Notamacropus eugenii: one gene and its partner. Each later gene encodes a partner of the first gene's protein in a complex. Links are inferred from orthologs where the notes say so. Each region holds a gene or a part of one and is shown on either strand. Other genes may lie near its edges. The genes, in order: PRELID1 and TRIAP1.

Region 1 (7,498 bases):
AAGTATTTGGTGGCAGCATTCCAGTTACCACCAGCCTGATCAAACCTGAAGTACTGGCATCTTTAATTCTATGGCCAACTACATCCCCCAAAACCCAACCAGGCCAACTCTAGAGGGTCCCTTTCAGTCAGCAGCTGCCACACCATAGAAACCCTGTAAGTCACTAATGTTTCACCTAGGAGAAAACTAGAGAAAGGAACTTTTCAGTACAGTTTCATGAAGCCAGTCACATCAGAGGACACCTAGATACTCAATCTGTCTTCCAGGCTCAGGTAAGGAGAGGAACAATCTTAAGTAACTTTTCCTTCCCACATGAATACATTCCTCCCTTCCCATGAAATAGTAAGGAAGTGGGTCAACTATCAGTGGGGGGATGGGGAGGGACTTTATTTACAAGGCAGAAGCCACTTAAATTATGTGCAGAAATACAAGTGCTGCCCAGCAAATAGGAGAGAGCCCAGAGTCAGAACTGGCCTCCTCTCGCCTTTCGGTCTGCTGCTGCCTGTGATCCTGGGCCAGCACAGGCCCATCCCTTTCTGCCTCGGGCTGTGGGTAGCTCAGACAGCCCCTCAACCAGCAGAGAGCAGGCAAGGGTCCAGCAGGGTCCCTTCCAGGTGATACGGTGGCTCTCAATGATGGCAGCAACTGTAGAAGAAGGTGTTGCCCTTCTGACTCAAGTCAACGCCTTTGTCCTCTGCAGAGAGATGGAAGCAAATATTAACCACTCATCATCAAGAAAGGATCACCATTCAGACCTTCACTCTAAAGTGCCTGGGTCTGAATCCTAGTTAGCCACTTTTTACCTACATGAGACATGTTATTTCAGGTCCCTGCTGCCTCTAAAATGAGGGAATTGGATCAGAATGTTCAAGGCTCCTTTCAACACTAAATCACCATAATCAAAGAAGTAGGCAAAAAGGGAGGGCCACAGTTTGGAAGCAGACCTCACCTGTCATCAACTGGAAGGCAGCCACACTGACGTAATCTTCTGCCACCTTCTGGAACAGTTCATCTAGGTAGTGAAGGAGGGTGAGGTAATAAGGCAAGGAAAAGCCAATGATTGTTTGACTACTCCCATTCTCACAAGCTAATGATACTGTCTTGTAAGGCCAGATTTTGCCACTGTTCAGATACCCAGTATCCTAGGACAACCTTTGCATTTCCTAAAAATACATTTCCTTTCATCCAGTTCTGGGATCACTGCCTGCCATGCTATCCCCTCTCCAACTCTCTTTCCTAAGTCTGGCTTTCCCAGACTGACTAAAACCAGGTCTAGAGATTACCTGGGCCCCAGACAGTACTTACCTACACTCTGGCCTGTCTTGCTAGATGTCTCAAAGAGCTGAGCTTTTATGTCTGTAAACACACAGCTCAGAGTGAGCAAGTAAGGCTGACTTACCCATGTCCTGCCCTTCCTGGGATGAGCACCCAGCAAGAGGATAAAAAGAGTAGGGCTGGATAAAAGATGGCAGAAAAGCCAAGGAAATGGGAATTTCATGTGATTTACCTCCACCCCTTGGCATGAGTTTGCTTCCAGCCCTTCCAACCTCATATGGGCATCTTCCCAGGGACAGAGAACCACAACTATCCCCATAGGCATGAAAGAAAGTATAAAACAAAAATCGTGCCACTTTTTTTGACCAGTCTTCTGTGGCTCCCTCCCTCCCAGCCCTCAAAGAACAGTAGGTACCATCTGCATAATCTTGGACATCATGGAAGTCAACCCGGCGCAGTCTTCGATCTTCCTCCAGAAGGTCACTCTTGGTGCCACACAAGTAGATCTGACAGCTCTGCAGTGGGCAGAAATCAGGGGTCAATCGATATCAGGGTCCTTCCACTGCCCAGCCCAGGAGAATGACAATGATAACCATCAGATACCATTACTGCTGCAGTTTACAACTACAAAGTGCTTTCCTCACAAACATCTAGGCTGCAGGTATTACTACTCTCATCCTGTAGATAAGGAAACTAAGCCTCACAGAGACCAAATGACTTGCTCTTGGTCACACAGGTAATAATTAGTGTAAGAATCAGCACTTGAAATTAAGTCCCTTTTAAGAGATCTAGTGGTATAGTGGTTAGATTTCTGGACAAGTGTCAGGAAGACCTATTTTGAAATTCTGTCCTGGACATTTAGTAGTTGTATCACCACATGCAAACTAACCTAATTCTCAGTTTTCTCTTGTGTAGAATGGGAATAATACCTATTATTAGATCTGTTGTGAGGCTTAAATGGGATAAAGTACGTTAAAACATTCTAATATCAGCTACTATTTTTTTCCCAATACTACAAAGCCTCTCAAGACAAGCAAGGTCCTGAGCTCTCCCTGTTCATGGCTTTACAAAGTCCTCAAGGATCAGAAGCACTACTTAGCTCCCAAGTACACTTACCTCTTCTAAACTCTGAAGCTCCTTTACCCAGAATTTGGCTCGTTCAAAACTACTGCTGTCAGTAAGATCTGGGAATAAAGGAGTGCAGAAAGGCTGTTAACCACCTCCATGTAAACCACTGCTCATGAAAGGCTGAAGAGCCTGGGCTGGGGGTGAAGATAACCTTACCATAGCAGACAATGGCTGCCTTGGCACCACGATAATAGATTCGACTCATGGCCTCATAGCGCTCGGAGCCAGCTGTGTCCTACAGAGAATCAGGTGAAAGCTCATCCCTGGTCCCTAACTTGGGAATAACCTGGACAAGGACCCTTCTACCCACAATTCCCAGGGATTAGGTCAATCAGAAAAGCCTGAATTATTACAGATGTTCTCTAGTCTTGGTATTTCTCAGATGGAGAAACAGAAGTATAGGAGGTCATTTGCTGAGGTTTACCAGGCTTATCAGGGACAGAACTGAGAATTCTAAGCTACAGTACAGCACTGAGAAGCTGACGGCTCTCCAAGATGGCCCAACACCCTCTTGCCCAGGTGGTCCTATACAGTTCAGAGTCTTTTGGGTGGGGAAGCCTCTCTTGGAAATATCTCAGGAAATAAATATCCCCTGGAAAGCCCTTCATCCAATAGGGCAAGTAAGTGTTGGTGTGTCCCTGTCACTCACCCAAATGCCTAGTGTCACTGTTCTGTCTCCCACAGACATCACCTTGGCCACAAATGCTGCCCCAATGGTCTGTGGGGAGGGGGGAGGAAGGAGACAGTCATTCCCCCTTTCACAACAATGCTTGTTACTATTATTATTATTAACAATGCTTATGCCACCCACTGCAGTAGACACAAGACTTTTTCACTTCCCTTTTTTCTGACACCCCCCCCTCCCTAATAACACTAGGACAGATAGCAGGAAATATTTTACCTTTTTTACAAGAAAGGAAACTGAGGTCCAGAAAGGGGACATGAATAGCAAATTCCCACAGGGGATCAGGGGCAAAGTTGGGGCTCAAAAATCAGGTTGACTGGCTGCCCCCCACATTCACAACCAAGCCTTAGCACCTCCGTGCGCCCGGCGTGCTCCCCTCCGCACCCGGTCCCGGACCCCGCGCCGGGGCGCGCCCGCACTCACATTCTGGTAGGGCCCCACCAAAAAGCGATCGTGCACGTATCTCTCCACGAGGCTCGTCTTGCCCACATACTCCTTGCCCAGCATCACGACCTTCACGTCCACGCGCTGCCCGCTCATGCTCCCGGGGCCCAGGCCGGGCAGGGGCGCGGCGGGCCGGGCGAGCAGACCACAAGCTTTACCTGCGCCGGACACGGGCCCGCCTGAGCGCGTCGGAGCCGGGCCCGGCCTCGGCTCTTCTGCTCCGGCGCCGGCCCCGTCAGCCCGCGGGACACGGCCGGGGGCCTGCGCTTGGAGCCCGTGGGCCCGGGGATCCCCGATCAAGACCCCTCACCCCGCCCGCCACACACATACACACGCCTGCCTACGCTTGAAGAGCCCGGGTCGGAATGCCGGTCCAGGCTGCTCCACCTCACGCGAGCCTGCGAGCCTGCGTCCTCTTACCGGGGCCGCATGCTCCCGCTCCTCCTGCCGCGGCCGCGGCCACTCCGGGGCCAGTCCGGTCCCGCTGCCCGTCCGGTCCCGGTGCTCGGAGACCCCCGAGCTAGAGCAGCCCGAAGGAAGCCAAATGGGGGGGGGGGGAGCCGGCGGGGGGAACGGGGAGGAGCCACACGCCTCACGTGACAGGAACACCGGAAATGCTCCTGCGGAAGGGGCGGGGCTTGAGAGGGTCGGGCTGGGGCCGGAAGTGCCGAGCGGCCGGACACCCCCTCATGGCGGCGGCGGCGACGGCGGCGGCGGTGGCTGCAGAGGTGGCGGCGGCGGCGGCTTTGGGACGGTGACGGAGAGCTCGAGCCCGGCAACCCATCTCTCCTCTACCCCTCGATGCTGTGCGCCCCCTGACACTGCCCCGACCCCGACCCCGACCCCCGCCGGGACGATGGTGAAGTATTTCCTGGGGCAGAGCGTGCTCCGGAGCTCCTGGGACCAAGTGTTTGCTGCCTTCTGGCAGCGTTACCCCAACCCTTACAGGTGAGGACAGGAGAACCCGGCCCCCCGACCCCCCACGGGCGAGGGCTGGAGACAGAGGAGGGCGGAAGACTCCCGGCTCACACTCCGCCCCCTTCACAGCTCTCATAGAAGAGAGGAACACCCAGAAGCCCCCTCCCCTCCAGGCACCTCCGGGGACGGCTAGAGCCTCCAGTCCTCGAAGCGCTGTGGGTGGTGACCCTAGGCATTTTTGCCCCCTCCCCCTCCCCCCTGGGAAAGAGAAGCCCCCACCCCGAGCTCGTTGGAATCCAGCCCGGGAGCCCGAGCCGGGGGAGGGGGGGAGGGGGGGAGGGGGCCGCTTACCTCTGCGGTGCGGGGCGCCTTCTTCCAGGTGGCACCTGCCAGGCTTGGCCAAAGGGGCGTCAGGTTTGGACTTCGCCCTGGACCTGAGCCCCACCTAACCTGCCCGAGATTGGAAGTGGGGCAGGACTCCTGTCCGGGAACACCTTCAGCCTGAAGCCTGAGCTGCAGTTTCCTCTTTTTCTGCCCCTTCCTTCGCCCAAACAGGATGACTTGAGGAACATTGATTTGACTTCCCTTTTTTTTATTTCTCAAAATATTCTGTATTTAAATATCAAATGAGATCAGTATTTTCACCCATGTTGTAAAAGCAGAGGAGGGGATTGGATGCCCAAACAGGATGTCTTGAGGAACTTTGAATTTACTTCCTTTTTCTTTTTTTAATATTCTGAACTAAATAAATATCTAATAAGATCCATATTTTCATTTCACTTAGGGAAGGAGTTGAACATAAAACTGAATCTCTTATGGAAAGTGGTGCTTTTCTTTTTAGGTACCCAATAAATTCATCGTGTAGCTTTCCAAGCTCATCTCCTGTGTTGTGTGTTTCCCACGCAGCAAGCATGTGCTGACGGAGGACATTGTGCACCGGGAGGTGACTCCTGACCAGAAGCTGCTGTCCAGGCGGCTTCTAACCAAGACCAACAGGATGCCCCGCTGGGCGGAGCGCTTCTTTCCTGCTAATGTAGCCCACTCGGTGTACATCCTGGAGGACTCCATCGTGGACCCACAGAACCAGACCATGACCACTTTCACCTGGAACATCAACCATGCCCGGCTGATGGTTAGTGACTCTTTAGCACCCACTCATTTAAAGGAGGAGTCCCAGAAAAGAGAGGAAGCAGGCTGGTTCAGAAAGAAAAGTGAAAAGCAGTTTGTGATTCTTGACCTGCCACTACTTTGCTGAGTGGCACTTGGTAAATCCCTTTTATCTCTCCAGGTCATAGTTTTCTCATCTTTAAACTGAGATGTAGATTTGATGACTTGTGAAGGTCTTTCTGAATATAGGCAAGTTTCTTAACCTCTGTTTGCCTCAGTTCCTTCATCTGTAAAATGAGGGTAATAGTATCACTTACCTCTCAGGGTTGTTGTGAGGATAAAAGGGGATAATAATTGTAAAGCACCTAGCACATAGTAAGCATCATATAAATCTTGATTTTTGGCTCTAGGCCTTGTAGAATCTTGTTCTTCTTAGGGTCTAGATTACTGAAAACTTGTGATCATTTCATTCCAGGTGGTGGAGGAAAGATGTGTTTACTGTGTGAACCCTGAAAACAGTGGATGGACTGAAATCCGACGGGAGGCCTGGGTCTCCTCCAGTTTGTTTGGGGTCTCCAGAGCTGTACAGGTAACATAGCACTTTGGTGAAATGCCAAAGGTGCCATCAGTGGGGGTAGGATGTTTGGTTCTTCCTTGGCTCTGAGCACCATGGATTGTCCTGGGCATGAGCAGTGACTAGAAGTGCTAAGAGACAGCTCTTCATACCCGATCCCATCTTGTCCTTTCAGGAGTTTGGCTTAGCTAGATTCAAAAGTAACGTGACCAAGACCATCAAAGGCTTTGAGTACATCTTGGCCAAACTGCAAGGTAAGAACCAAGGGCTTTAAGTCTGGGGAGGAACACAGGGTGTAGGTGCTGGCACTAAGTATGAGGATCCCAAGAAAAAAAGTTTGAAACAGTGCTGAATTAGGAGTTACATGGTTTGAATCTTGAGTTTAGCATTTGATACCCATATGACCTTGGTTAGGTGACTTAACCTTTCTTGGCCTCAATGTTCTTATCAGTAAAATTACAGATTTGGAAAAAGATCAATTGAGATTCCTTCTCGAACCCAAGCTATCATTGGGTATGAGGCTGCTACTTAAGCCCTGCCCCTCAAACTTGTGACACCAGCCACCCTCTAAGGTATAGCTGCAGAAGAGCTTGAATCAGGTCAAAGACCAAATGTAGTTTAGTGTGGTGTGGTGGAAGAAGCACTGGACTTGGAGTCACAACTCCTAGGTTCAAATTCTTGATGTTATCCATGTTACCCTTTGATCTTGAACAAGGTTCTTATTCTCTCCGAAATGCTATTTCTTTATATGTCATACCAATCAGCTGGTTTCAGTTTTCATTGTACCTTCTAACTGATACTCTGAGATTCTCTTTTTGCAGGTGAAGCTCCTTCTAAGACACTTGTTGAAACAGCTAAGGAAGCAACTGAGAAGGCGAAGGAAACTGCTCTGGCAGCTACTGAGAAAGCCAAGGACCTGGCCAGCAAAGCAGCCACCAAGAAGCAGCAGCAGCAACAACAACACTATGTTTAAAGGAGTCACCTTACTGCTGCCCTCCCAGATCGCCAGTACCCAAGGCTGAGAGCCTCTTGGCAAGACCTGGCATTGGGCCTGGAGCCCCAGCCCCTCAGCGTCTACCATCAACACAATGCAAGCCACAGACAATCCAGCTCTTGTCCCATTACCCGCCCTGTGTCCAAGTTGTAATTTATCATTAAAAATCAATTTTTAGTGCTGTCCTTGGCCTGTGGAGGTTTCTAAGCCTTGGGGGTAATTAAGTGATCCTGCCAGGTTTATAATGAAGTCTCACAGCCATCAGCCTTGAAACATGCTAGTGACTGCAACTTACCCTTCCTTTGTAGTCCTGAAGAAATAAAAGGGTCTACAGGCAGAATTAAGAAAAAGTTTTTTTTACTGAAAATACTGT
Region 2 (6,178 bases), on another chromosome or scaffold:
CGCTGTCTTGTTTTGTGTTCTCCATGCTCAGGCCTTCCTCCCTCAGGCAGCTGGCAGGATTTGAAGGATCACATGCGAGAAGCTGGGGGTGTGTGTTATGCAGATGTGCAGAAAGATGGCATGGGGGTAGTTGAGTTCCTCCGAAAGGAAGATATGGAATACGCCCTGCGTAGACTGGACGACTCCAAATTCCGTTCTCATGAGGTGGGTTCCCACCTTTTGTGGAAGAACTTCTATAATCCCATGGCAGTTGGGCCTGCAGCTGTCCTCACTGCACAGAAGGCTGGTAGATAGCTTGTTAAATAATCTCAGAGTAACAGTAAGGAACCTTAGTGGACAAGCCAACATCTTTCGTGCCCAAGTCTTACAGACCCTAGCAATGGTCCTTTAGTACCTGGAGAGAATCGGCAAGTAGGTCAGCATGAGTGAGCCACCTCTTTCCCACCTGTTTAAGAGAGCTTTTGTGGATTATGCCTCCAGTGGCTGAACTTGAGCTTTCACAAATTCAGGAAGCTGTCATCTCATTGTAGTTGCTTTCTTGGAAGTGACTTAAGGATTGTGTCCCAGGCCTCTTACAAACACAACTTATCTTGATGTGGCTACTGTCCCTTTATGTGCCTGGTAATTTGTGAGTGAAATTCCTTTCTGTAAGGAATGACTAAGCTGTTGGCTTCCTGATACCTTGGGGACCTAAAGGAGAGACCTCTTGGACCTTCCTCCCCGTTGTCCTGATTGCCTTCAACATACAAACGGTGTTTAAAATTCCTGTATTCCCAGTTACCAAATTTTTTTTCCTTCCTTAAAAGTGGTTTGCCTCACTCACCTGGCAACTGGTTCGACCGTGCCATTGCCCAAACCACCTTACACTTCAAGAGCAAAGTGGCCACGGTTGTGAACTTGCAATGATCTTGCAATCATGAAGTCTTCTGCTTAAGTTTAGGATAACACTTGGGACACTTGGACCTTCTTCCACTTACCGGCCCAGAATAGGCTGGATATGAGTCCCTGTTCTTCCTTCCCCTACCCATCTTCATCCCTCACTTTTTTTTCCTTCCTTTTGTTTGAATTTCAGGGTGAAACTTCCTATATCAGAGTTTATCCAGAAAGAAGCAGCAGCTATGGCTACTCCCGGTCCCGCTCAGGGTCAAGGGGCCGTGATTCTCCATACCAAAGCAGGGGCTCCCCATACTACACCTCTTCCTTTGCACCATATTGAAACCGCTTATGAGGTTTTTTTGGTTCTGTTTTTTGTTTGTTTTTTTTTTTAGTGTGAACTGAGTTGCTCTCTGCTCGGAATCTACATTCCAAATTGACTTAGTATCTTAGGATTTTTTTTTAATAACTTTTTTTTTAAAGGAAAAACTACATACAACTACATACATACAGTTTCTACCAGGGCCATATTGGCAGTGAAATATTTTGAACTGCTGCAGTTGTTTTGGTTTAGAAGCAAGTTGCATAGTTCCCCTTCCTCCCCCAATTATGGAGAAAAAGCAATGCTGTGTCAAGGTGGGTTACTCTGCACAGACACTATATATAGGAATCAGCCCATTCTGTTTAGAAATATATTTCTAAAGTTTAATAGTTTCCAAGTCGTGGTTATTTTAATTACGTAAACTCAGTTTTTCTGTGCCAGGCAGATAGAGGATTAAAAGAATAAGAGAAGTTATCTGAACAGAACTTCTCAGTAGGGGCTTGAACGGGAACAGTCGGTGGTGGTCTGCTGTTAGACGAAATCCAGTGCTGAGCTTTTCAGTCTGTTTCTCTCTGAATGGAGGCTTTGGCAGTAGAGGAAATCACTGATAAAAGAAGATACTTTATGAAGAGACTAGGAATACTTAGGGAGGAAATATGAATAATCCAGACTGCATGGAGTCCTTTGATCAGGAAAAAACAAATTCTTGGGCAAAAGTGCATTTTGGTTAGAAACTCACTCTACATAACAGCATGCAGAAACTCTGAACCAAAGGTGATTTTGCAATTACCACAAGACACTTCCAACATGTGACCCAGGTACTAAGTGAATTCCTGATCCATTTCCTGGGAAGCTTTTCTCCAAGTCCCTAGTCTTCCTTGACCTCTATCGGGGAGAGCAGGATCTCACTTCAGCAGTTCTCCATCCTCACCCCATCTTCACTGGAGAGCAGCAGGGGGAGAGGAGAAAAGGGGCCAGAACCTGGTTGTGTTGAGGAAGTTCAAGGGAGTTTTTTTCAACTTAGTCTTTCCCAAGGTCCTCCATCTACATCATTTCCTACTGTGAGCACTATTCCTCAAAGCAGTGCTGGATCTTGTTCACTTTGTTTTGGCAGAGTGATGTTCCCTGTTTAAAATCCAAAAAGGAAAGAATTACAGTTAAGCCTAACTCTTCTTGCTTCTGAAACTAGTTGGTGTTTCATGAAAACAATGTTGTCACCACTCTGCTTTCTCAGCTAGGAATACCTGGATCACTACTAGATTTGCTACACATTTAAGAGGGAAAGGAGTGCCCATTGTGGAATTACCTAACATCCTCAGACAGTGGGGGTTGCAATTGGCAGAAGAAACATCCACACCAAAGTAATTCCTGAAATACTTTAGATAGGCACCTCTGAGCAGTGGGAAGGAAATGAAAACTACCTGGCTTAGTTCTGGATTGGGGTTTTTTGTGAGGGAGGAGGTTATCAATCAGTGAATCCATATAGTCACTTGACACATCCCAAGAAGAGGAATTTGAATCCATATTCTCCAGAAAAAAATCTATATGGCTCAAGGGTACTCCCCCTGCTTCCAGCAACTACTTGGTAACGTTTAAGTAATTCACAGAACCAGAGACACTCTACGATCTATACCAAATTGAGATTCCCTGACCCAACCGGAATCCCTTTCAGTATGGGGGTAATATGGAAGTGCTATGCCCTCTACCAGCTTCCTGGACTGGCATCTAAGCTGGGCATACGTCGGAGAAGGGTGAGGATACAACGCTGTTATGAAGCTCAAAGTCCAAAATGTAGAACTGACTTCAAAAAACAGGCTGCTAAGTTGTGGGGTTCAAATGGGCTGAAAGTCTTACATGGAAAAGGTTTACAACGCGTTTACAGCCTAAGGGTGGCTAACACCTCCCTGGGATTCAAACAGCACTTTATACTCCCAGAATCATTTCAAACCTATTCATCCCCCCCAAACCTTGCCTCTGAGCTGCAACATGACTGCCCAGCACCCCAATGTAGCATCTACCTGGGGGTGCCACAAAATACTCCTCCACAGTCTGCTGCGAGTTCTGCAGCAGGTCTTCCACACAGCCGCCTTCTACCACGTCGTCGGCTCTCAGGTACAGGCACCTACAACAGTCCAGAAGCCCGCCCCATAGGCAAGGGGCCCGGACCCCGAGCTTCTGCCGCGGGGGTACGGGGCGGGGGACCTCCACCAGCCCTGGGGCCGGTCTCCACACTAACCCAATCACTTGGAGCCGCGTTTTCGCACTTTTGGGTGGGGTGGATTTCCACTACTCGTGACCTCCTGCTGACACCGGAGGCACGCCCACCCCGCTCCTGGGAGGGTAACTGCAGATGACGTCATGTCATCGAGGGGGCCGTTAAAACGCCGGCACGTGTGGCGCTCCTGCGCTGGGCGATCGGGGATCCCTGCCCGAGGAGCCCCCGCGTGCACACGGACGTGCACGGCCTTGCCTACCGGTCCTCCAGCACCGACTCCATGGGCGCCACGCCGTCCGTGTCCACGGCGCGGAGCTTCTCCGCAAACTCGATGGCCGCCCGCAGCCGCTCTACGCCCTCGCGGTTTCGGAAATCCACCAGGGCCAGGCGCTCCAGGTGCTCGATCAGCTCGGCGCTCACTCGGTCGCCCGGGCGGGGGCCGGGGGGTGGGGGCTTCCCCGAGTCGTCCCCCGCAGACCGGCAGCTCCCGACTCGTGCTCCCGGCCCCCCGGCTATGGCGCCCCTCACGCCGGGGCTCAGCCCTGTCCGCAGCGTCCGCTGGAGCATCCGACGCCACATCTCCGGGGTCGCGGCCGCCTCACTGCGAGCCGGAAACGGGCGCTCCGGCGTGACGTAAGCGGCGCTCCGCGAGTGACGTCGGCAGCGCGCCGTCGCCCTTCCACTGCGGGGCTGGTCGCCATGAACAGCGTGGGAGAGGCCTGCACCGACATGAAGCGAGAGTACGACCAGTGCTTCAACCGCTGGTTCGCCGAGAAGTTCCTCAAGGGCGACGGCTCCGGGGACCCCTGCACCGACCTCTTCAAGCGCTACCAGCAGTGCGTGCAGGTGAGCCCCGAGAGCCGCGGGTTGGGCGTGGGCCCTGCGTGGCCGTGGCCACTGGGCTCCCGAGCGCCGCCGGCCGGACTGGTCACGTGCCGGCGCGGTGGTGGGGAGGGGTCGGCGGCCCAGCCCTGGGATCCCCTGCTGTGTGCCTCTGAGGCCTGAGTGCCCAGCTCGGAGCTCCCCGAGGAGGGTCACAGGTCGGGAAGCCAGCCCAGCGCTTGGCGACGTTGGTCTGATTCCTCGTCCGGTCAGGAGCGCTTTAGATTCTTGAGACGCTCCTTTCTCTGAGTCTTTCCTTTGTATATGTCATTTCTCAATCCACAGAAAGCGATCAAGGAGAAGGAGATTCCTATAGAAGGGCTGGAGTTCATGGGCCACAGCAAAGAGAAGTCGGAAAGCTCTCCTTGACCTTGACGGCCGCCTTCGCGATGACCTTTTCAGCTGCAAACATTCAGACGTCAGGAAGACTGGTCTCTGGAGACGACTGGTTTTTAGGAGCTTTTTAGAGGAAGAGTCCCTTAGGTTTATTTACTGAAAGGCTCGGATAGACCTTTATTATTTGCTTTCAGGTGACGGATGGCACCTCGCTGGTGTGGCATCTTGCAGTACCAAACATGGCATAAGAGAACAAGTCTTTAGATGAACAGAATGTACCTTGGTCTGCTGCACTTATGTGGTCTGCACAGAAATACCAGTACATGTACTCCTGAGTCAGAATGGCTACGTTGTCCTGAATGAGGAATCCTTGCTGCAAAGTATTAATTTTTTTTCTGGAACCACACCTCTGATGCTCTGGGAGTGACTCCTGCATTTAATTAGCAACGTTTTGTTTGGGTAACGACGGAATAATGGTTAAAGGTGTGGAGCTAGCCAAAAAGGGATCTGCCTTTAGGAGACTACTGCCTGCTTTTAAGAAGAGGATTTAGATGGAATCAAAACAAAACAGGAAGTTCTTGAAGGCTTCTAAAGAAACATTTTGAGCTCCCAAAGTTTGGTACTAAGCGCACAAATTAAGGTGATTCCTGGTTTCCTCTGAATCTTGTGAATTTAGCTATGAAGGTACTAAAATATGCAGAAATCAGATTTTCTTGATTTTTAGGCTGTTTCATGAATGGTGATAGTGACTATAAAAAAATGCTGATAGAAATGACACCACTGGGCTTGAGCTATAGACTATCCTGCATGGGTTGGTGGAAGAGGGTTGTTTACAAGGCCTCTTGAATACCTTGACAGTTGCACATGGTTAATTGGGATGAAGAAAATAGTTTGCTTTATTTGCCTTATTTGTCTATCATGTTCTGTAACATTTGAAATCAGAGATGGAATAAATAACTGCTCTTTGGTTTATAGTTTACTTTCTCATCGACCTCGTAGCACTTCATCTCCAGCATGCCTGTAACATGGGTAGTTATCCTTAGACTGTCGAGTATATATGTCTAATCTTACATTAGATGAAAAAGCAAAAATTCTGAGCCTGGTGGGATTAGAACCCAGACCCCGTTGTTTCCATGACTAATCAGTAGGAATGAAGAGTGTCTCTTTGGAGAGAACAAATTCATATTTTGGCTACTCAAGACAGAGTACACCACCTGATGAGTGGGTGAGCACAGACTACCTTGACACAGCCCACCAACTGAACATCATTTGAATTTGTTAGGATTCTTACCAGCAAACCTTAGGTATCATCTTAGGGATTGAGTACTTTTGATACATGGTCATTTACAGACCACATTGTAATTAAGCTTATTTGTATGTTTAGTGAGACTAAAGATTTAAAATAGGATCATAACATTTTTGGGTTCCTAAAAATCAGTCATGTTTCAATAAAATGCTTTAAATATCATTCTTAGTGAACCGAATTGGATAGAGCTACTTCATAGTTAATGACGTTTCAGGGAGACGATTTATAATAGCATTTCTATACC

Evidence for each region.
Region 2: the proteins of PRELID1 (region 1) and TRIAP1 are in contact, whole or in part, in a crystal structure (PDB 6I3V), measured with the Homo sapiens proteins. The link is inferred for Notamacropus eugenii from reciprocal best matches to the Homo sapiens genes PRELID1 and TRIAP1. Residues at the interface, in NP_037369.1 of Homo sapiens: Trp15, Asp16, Phe19, Ala20, Trp23, Gln24, Tyr26, Pro27, Val34, Leu35, Thr36, Glu37, Asp38, Ile39, Val40, His41, Arg42, Val44, Gln48, Lys49, Leu50, Leu51, Ser52, Arg53, Leu55, Thr57, Tyr79, Leu81, Asp83, Ser84; in NP_057483.1 of Homo sapiens: Met1, Asn2, Ser3, Val4, Lys12, Tyr15, Asp16, Phe19, Asn20, Trp22, Phe23, Phe27, Leu28, Gly30, Asp31, Ser32, Phe41, Tyr44, Gln45, Val48, Gln49, Ile52, Ile57, Pro58, Ile59, Leu62, Glu63, Phe64, Met65, Gly66.

The regions. Positions count from the first base shown.
Region 1 is NC_092872.1:414,152,583-414,160,080, forward strand, and holds PRELID1 (PRELI domain-containing protein 1, mitochondrial), read left to right. Parts: upstream 1-4,687; intron 4,688-5,291; 5' UTR 5,292-5,447; coding exon 5,448-5,582; intron 5,583-6,032; coding exon 6,033-6,146; intron 6,147-6,306; coding exon 6,307-6,385; intron 6,386-6,952; coding exon 6,953-7,104; 3' UTR 7,105-7,310; downstream 7,311-7,498. UniProt on the Homo sapiens protein: Involved in the modulation of the mitochondrial apoptotic pathway by ensuring the accumulation of cardiolipin (CL) in mitochondrial membranes.
Region 2 is NC_092875.1:24,824,672-24,830,849, forward strand, and holds TRIAP1 (TP53-regulated inhibitor of apoptosis 1), read left to right. Parts: upstream 1-4,109; coding exon 4,110-4,256; intron 4,257-4,577; coding exon 4,578-4,661; 3' UTR 4,662-5,602; downstream 5,603-6,178. Other genes in the region: SRSF9 (serine/arginine-rich splicing factor 9), read left to right, coding at 32-204, 1,073-1,216; GATC (glutamyl-tRNA(Gln) amidotransferase subunit C, mitochondrial), read right to left, coding at 2,271-2,320, 3,214-3,317, 3,670-3,989. UniProt on the Homo sapiens protein: Involved in the modulation of the mitochondrial apoptotic pathway by ensuring the accumulation of cardiolipin (CL) in mitochondrial membranes.